Linked DNA regions of Rattus norvegicus. The protein of the gene in region 2 purifies or fractionates together with the protein of the main gene of each other region. This does not show direct contact. Links are inferred from orthologs where the notes say so. Each region holds a gene or a part of one and is shown on either strand. Other genes may lie near its edges.

Evidence for each region.
Region 1: the proteins of Mapk7 (region 2) and Pfdn5 purify together in Homo sapiens (affinity purification with mass spectrometry; 3 studies listed by BioGRID and IntAct, with this or other methods). This does not show direct contact. The link is inferred for Rattus norvegicus from reciprocal best matches to the Homo sapiens genes MAPK7 and PFDN5.

The regions. Positions count from the first base shown.
Region 1 is NC_086025.1:135,329,046-135,333,217, forward strand, and holds the start of Pfdn5 (prefoldin subunit 5), read left to right. Parts: upstream 1-1,318; 5' UTR 1,319-1,361; coding exon 1,362-1,433; intron 1,434-1,609; coding exon 1,610-1,712; intron 1,713-1,996; coding exon 1,997-2,028; intron 2,029-3,613; coding exon 3,614-3,688; intron 3,689-3,803; coding exon 3,804-3,909; intron 3,910-4,172. Other genes in the region: Espl1 (separin), read left to right, coding at 1-75. UniProt on the Homo sapiens protein: Binds specifically to cytosolic chaperonin (c-CPN) and transfers target proteins to it. Binds to nascent polypeptide chain and promotes folding in an environment in which there are many competing pathways for nonnative proteins.
Region 2 is NC_086028.1:46,669,186-46,671,946, reverse strand, and holds the end of Mapk7 (mitogen-activated protein kinase 7), read left to right. Parts: coding exon 1-425; intron 426-520; coding exon 521-1,194; intron 1,195-1,546; coding exon 1,547-1,680; intron 1,681-1,773; coding exon 1,774-1,927; 3' UTR 1,928-2,226; downstream 2,227-2,761. UniProt on the Homo sapiens protein: Plays a role in various cellular processes such as proliferation, differentiation and cell survival. The upstream activator of MAPK7 is the MAPK kinase MAP2K5.

The sequences.
Region 1 (4,172 bases), on a different chromosome or scaffold from region 2:
GCCCCACGACTCAAGTATCTTATTGGTGCTGCACCTGTAGCCTACGGCCTACCTGTCTCTCTACAAACATCCTGAAGCTGTCTTATCTATGGTAGAAGCTGTGTGACTACCTCCAAACTTGGTTTTGAATATTTAGAATTTTTAAAGTGATTTTCCCTGGTGTTTTGTATGAAATATTTTCTTTAATGTGACCTTAATAAAGATATACCAAGCCTTGGTTTGTGAGAGTTCAAGCTCCTCTCCTCACTCCTGCTCTGTGAATGTAAGCAGACTGGTGGTGCACCAGGGAGTTCAAAGTTTGAAAGCTAAACCACAGGACAAAGTTTGGGGCAGCTGGGGCTTGGGTGATGAAGATGAACAGACGGCCATCAAAATACTGAGAGTGGCCCGTGGTGCATATCTTTAATCCCAGCCGTTGGGAGGCAGGGATACCCCCACCCCCACCCCAGCCTGGTCTATTTAGCAAGTTCTAGAATAGCCAGGGCTACATAGAGAAAAACCCTATCTTCCAAAAACAAAATGTTCAGAGTGAGGCAAACAGTGAGCTAGCTCAGCCTAGTCGTTACTGTTCAGCCAGTTCAAAACAATACCCTGTCAGTTTAAAAAAGAAAAAGAAAAAGCAAAGTTTATATTGGAGCAAAGAAAGGCAGTGATCAGGCGATGCGGATGTTTTTAATTCCTCTACTGCCATTGCCCCTCTCCTGGATGATTTTAGAAACCATTGCTCATCCCATGAAGGCGGCTACACTTGAGCAATGGCAGTAGCAGATTCTTTGGGGTTTGCTACTCACATATGTTCTGTCGCACCAACTAAACAAATTGCTGGGAAGCACACATACCCTTCATACCCAACACAAAGAAGCAATTATGGCGAGGTGAGACAAATGGTTAGCAGTTAAGAGCACTGGGCTGCTCTTTCAGAGTACCTAAAGTTGGTTTGCCTGCATAACTGAGACACGAAAATAAATGTAGTTGGTTGACAGTTGCTCCTTTTTGGCACTTCCACTTTATCCTTTAAAGCACGTGGTACACTGTCAGAACACTGGCTCCCTGCAGGCTCGTCCCAAAAACATGCAGTGGCATATTGCTTTACAATCTTGTGGTTGTGCAGTGAATCAAGAGTTTCGAGTTCCTTGAGGTCTCAAGTCGTGTCTGCTAGTTAATCGTGACAGCATTAGTGTACTTACGAAAAGAAACTGTTCTCTAATCAAGCTTGAGATTCGTATAGCGGGTCCGAAACGCAGGATCATAGAGATAACGGGCGCAGAGCGTATCCCCCGGCGGCACCATAGAGATAACGCAGAGTGGCTAGAGCTTCGCTCGCCTAGCCGGCTTCCGCTTCGGCAGTCCTCCTTCCCAACATGGCGCAGTCGATTAACATCACGGAGCTGAATCTGCCACAACTGGAAATGCTCAAGAACCAGCTGGACCAGGTGAGGACCTGTCCCAGCACCTTCCTAGCGCTTCACATCCTCCGACCGCGTTCCCTCCTGGTGGGGGAGGTTTCCTTTCCCAGGGAAACCCCTATCCGGTCCCAGGTCCCGCCCCCTCTGCCTGAGCCCGGCTTTCTCGGTTCCCGAGCTGACCCTTTTTTCCCCGGCTTCTGTAGGAAGTGGAGTTTTTGTCCACGTCAATTGCTCAGCTCAAGGTGGTACAGACTAAGTATGTGGAAGCCAAGGACTGTCTGAACGTGCTGAACAAGAGCAACGAGGGTATGGGCTAGGCGGGTGAGGGCACCTGGGGAAACGTCGCTAGCCGGCTTCTCTGTGGCTTTTTCCTAGTCAGTTTTCGTTAGAGAAAATTATCCGTTACGTAGTGTGTATAACCACACGAGCCCCCGCATGTTGCCTACGGAAATCTAAAATTTACAAGACATTCCTCAGTTACTGTTCTTTTCAATGTCTGTGGACACTGAGCCCAGGTGGGAGCTTCCCTTAACGTCTTCACGTGGGAGCGGCTAGCCTTCCCCAGCTGTTTGTCTTCATTACTTTCACAGGAAAAGAATTACTGGTCCCACTGACGAGTTCTGTATCCTTTCCACGGGAATTGCTACCTTACCTTCTTCCACAGTCTTCCCCAAAACCGGAGAGAGTTTTGATTATTCCCCAACGATATTTATGAATAGTTGCACACTATGTAGTTCTCTTGTCTAACCTTGGACAGGTGTCCATGTAATACTTTGTATCAGAGTTCAGTTAATTGAAATGTGGTGTTTCTCTTTGTTGTTTAGAGATGTTATTATAATACAGAGATAAAGCTGGCATTCGGCTAATGCAGTAGAAAAAAAATGTTAGGGTGTTGAAATTGTGAACATGTCTCTTCTCAATTTTAGCTTAATTGCGGCTCATCCCTGAACTACTTTCACTAAGAAACCTAGATTGTTTCCACCTGTTGAAATGACCTGCTGTCAGAAATGACAGTTAAAGAGAAACCTAAGGGCATTGGTGATTTAGCTCAGTGGTAGAGCACTTGCCTAGCAAGCGCAAGGCCCTGGGTTCAGTCCCCAGCTCCGAAGAAAAGAAAGGAAAAAAAAAAAAGAGAGAGAGAAACCTAAGAATAGCAATGTGGTGAAGACTGTTCTAAGTCACAACAATAGAGCCAGCAAGGTGACGCAGAAGGTAAAAAACCACACATACAACCTGAGTTCAATCTCTGATACGAACATGGTAGAACGAGAAAACCAACTCCCAGAAGTTGTCCTCGGACCTCTGCTCCATGGCTTGCACACTTGTGAAAACACACACAAAAACAAGTAAATGTAGTGGTAGTTGGAAGGTGGAGAAATGGCTCGGCAGTCAGAGCCCTTGCTCTTGCTGAGAACCTGCTTTGGTCCCCAGTGTCTACACGGTGTAGGTGACTCCAAGGGGATACAGCAACCTTTCCCAGCTCCTGCAGGGACCAGGCATGCATGTACATACACACAGTCTTGTCTTAGGGTTTCATTGCTGTGAAGAGACGCTGTGACCAAGGCAACTCTTATAAAGGCAAACCTTTAATTGGGGAGGGTTTACAGATTCAGAGGTTTAGTCCATTATCATCATGGCAGGAAGCATGGCAGCAACCAGTAAGACATGGTGCTGCAGAAGGAGCTGAGAGTTCTACATCTTCATCCAAGGGCAGCCAGGAGAAGAGACTTCAGGTAGCTAGGAGGAGGGGGGTCTTAAAGCCCCACCGCCACACTTCCTCCAACAAAGTCACACCTCCTAACAGTGCCACTCCGTGGGCCAAGCATATTCTAACCACCACAAATCTACCAAAATTTAAAAAATTAAATAAAAATTAATAACAGTCCATCAGGGGGAGTGAGGCTGGTTTTTTGCTCATACCATCTCTAGAACCTTAGGAGAGAATCCTAAGTATCCAACCCGTTCCCCCTGGAAAGACTGGTGTGGGGAATACAGGAGCTCCTTTAAGGATGAGAGATGGGGTCAGGACAAGAAAGTGTTTCAGCTTCTCTGTCTCCTTCCACTTACAGTGACCAGGAAGCTAAGGCCTTCGGTTACTTGGTTCTCCTGGCTGCAGCTTTTTAGAAAAGGCACTTTGCGGTTAGCACTGTGGCTACCAAAACCATGTCTCATGCTGTACCAGTTTTCCCTTAACCCTGGCTTCTCAGATGTATGTCCCCGGGAAGCTCCACGATGTGGAACATGTGCTTATCGATGTGGGAACTGGTTACTACGTGGAGAAGGTGAGCGGTGTGTGGATGTCCTCGGAGAAGGTGACAATGGGAGCTTAAGGGAAGAGGTGTGGCGTAGGGCAGGGTCTCTCTTTAGCCTTTCATTCATTCACCTCTGCTCTTGCAGACAGCTGAGGATGCCAAGGACTTCTTCAAAAGGAAGATAGACTTTCTTACCAAACAGATGGAGAAAATCCAGCCAGCTCTGCAGGAGAAGCATGCCATGAAACAAGGTCAGTTCTGCCCAGGCACCTCTTGTAAAACTGCTATTAGCAGGTTGTGTTTATTACACACACACACACACACACACACACACACACACACACACACACACACACACACACACACACACACACCAAAAACCAAAAACCAAAAAACCAGACAGGCAAGGGCCATAGAAGTGCTGTGGTGTGGGGCTGGGGATTTAGCTCAGTGGTAGAGCGCTTGCCTAGCAAGCGCAAGGCCCTGGGTTCGGTCCCCAGCTCCGAAAAAAAGA
Region 2 (2,761 bases):
CGACCCTGACGATGAGCCTGATTGCGCCCCACCTTTTGACTTTGCTTTTGACCGTGAAGCCCTTACCAGGGAGCGCATTAAGGAGGCCATTGTGGCTGAGATTGAGGACTTCCATGCACGACGGGAGGGCATCCGCCAACAAATTCGCTTCCAGCCCTCTTTGCAGCCTGTGGCTAGTGAGCCTGTGTGTCCAGATGTCGAGATGCCCAGCCCCTGGGCTCCAAGTGGAGACTGTGCCATGGAGTCACCTCCTCCAGCACTACCACCATGCTCTGGCCCTGCCCCTGACACTGTTGATCTGACTCTGCAGCCTGCCCCGCCCGCCAGTGAGCTTGCTCCGCCAAAAAGAGAGGGTGCCATCTCCGACAATACCAAAGCAGCCCTCAAAGCTGCTCTGCTCAAGTCCCTGAGGAGCCGGCTTCGAGGTGGTTTGTGGGCCCAGCACCTGGGTGGGTAGTGGAGTGGTAGGCAGGGATTCTGGGACAGATCTGTAAGTCCTTACCTTCCAACTTTTCTGCAGATGGGCCCAGTGCACCCTTGGAGGCCCCTGAACCTCGAAAGCCTGTGACAGCTCAGGAACGTCAGCGAGAGCGAGAAGAGAAGCGCAGGAGGCGACAAGAGAGAGCCAAGGAGAGGGAGAAGCGACGACAAGAGCGGGAGCGCAAGGAGAGGGGGGCTGGCACCTTGGGGGGCCCCTCTACTGACCCTTTGGCTGGATTGGTGCTCAGTGACAATGACCGAAGCCTGCTAGAGCGGTGGACTCGCATGGCTAGGCCTCCTGTCCCTGCACCAGCACCAGCACCAGCACCAACACCAAAACCAACACCAACACCAACACAGTCCTCTGCTCAACCCACTAGTCCTCCCAATGGCCCTGTATCTCAGTCTACTGCTCCTCTACAGCCTGCAGGCTCTATTCCTGGTCCTGCCTCCCAGCCTGTTTGCCCACCCCCTGGGCCTGTTCCCCAGCCTGCTGGCCCTGTCCCTGCCCCTCTCCAGACTGCCCCTTCCACTAGCCTTTTGGCCTCCCAGTCACTTGTGCCACCTAGTGGGTTGCCTGGTTCTGGTGCCCCAGAAGTTCTGCCTTACTTCCCATCTGGCCCACCACCTCCAGATCCTGGGCTCACCCCTCAGCCTTCTACATCAGAGTCACCTGATGTCAACCTGGTGACCCAGCAACTGTCCAAGTCTCAGGTGAGAAGGGAGAAGGCTCAGGATATCTTGACCTGGTCCTGGAAGGTGGGTGGGGTAGTTGTCCATGTTGGGTGAGAGGAAGCAGCAGAGGGAGTCTTCCCTCCGTGAGCCTGCCCCCTTGCTCATAGAAGGAACACAGAAGGCCATTGCAGAGGTGGTTGGGAGGTGGACGCTGCTTGGAAAATGTCTGCCTTAGAGACAGCCTCACCTGCGCTAGCACTGGGTGATTTCAAGGCAGTGTTGATGCTCTAGGATATCTGGGCAGACTAGTCAGAAATATCAGGGTGTGCTCTGCTGACCTCAGTTTGTCCTTCCTGGCACTTGTGTTATAACCTGTTATTGTCCCCTGCAGGTGGAGGACCCCCTGCCTCCCGTGTTCTCAGGCACTCCAAAGGGCAGTGGGGCTGGCTACGGTGTTGGCTTTGACCTGGAGGAATTCTTAAACCAATCTTTTGACATGGGTGTGGCTGATGGGCCACAGGATAGGTAAGATGGCTGGACTGAGCTTTAGTGGAGGGTCTGAATGGCTGCTTAGCCAGCCAAGGCTTAGAACACCATCCCTGTTTCTTTTCCTTACAGCCAGGCAGACTCAGCCTCACTCTCAGCCTCCCTCCTTGCTGACTGGCTTGAGGGCCACGGCATGAACCCCGCTGACATTGAGTCTCTGCAGCGTGAGATCCAGATGGACTCCCCAATGTTGCTGTCTGACCTGCCTGACCTCCAAGAACCCTGAGACCCACAGCTTGTGCCTTGCTGCCAGGACAGACCCAGCTTCAAGGTCCAGGGGTGCAGTCCAGAGGGCTGCAGCCTTGAGCCTGGCAGGTGAGGCTCAGCTTGAGTTACTCTGCAGGTTCATCTCAGACCCACCGTTCAGCCTTAAGCAGCCGCCTGAGCCACCACCGAGCCATAACAGGATGGGAGGCTCTACTCCTTCCTGCGCAGTCTTCTCCAGTGTTGTATTTTTATTACTGTTGTAATATGCATTTGTTTTGCCATCGAAATGAGGCCTGTGAAATACAAGGTTTCCTTTAATCTGACTCTGTTATTGTTGGAGTTGGGGTAAAACCCCAACAGTAGGGGAATAAGGAAAAGCCAGGTGCTCGTATTTGGAGCCAAGTAAATGTTTGTCCACAAAGCCATCAGATCCTGAAGGTTTATTGAGACCTCTACTTCCCACCACTCCCAGCCCCCAGAGTTCTCTGCTGCCTCTCTCATGACAATCCCTAGGGAAGTAGGGGACCAAATTAAGCTGCTTTGCCGTGGCTCCTTCAGAGTCGATGGGCAGCAGCTGTGGTGAGTGTGGTCTTGGTGTTGAATTTTGAGGGATGAGTGAAGGCAGATGGGTTTGGGCTCCATGATGCTCACTTAAGGGAGTTAGTTGATGAGACCAAGGTAGGAAGTATTCTGAGGAGAGCTGTGGGAGTGCTGGGGTGTGACTGTGGCCATGCCTGAGCTGATTGGCAATGCCATAGGTGCTGTATTTCTCTGTCGAGGGTAGCCCTACACAGATGGGTCTGCAGTAAGGAATTGGCTGAGGTGGGATGTATAAGCTGGCAGCTAGAAGGTA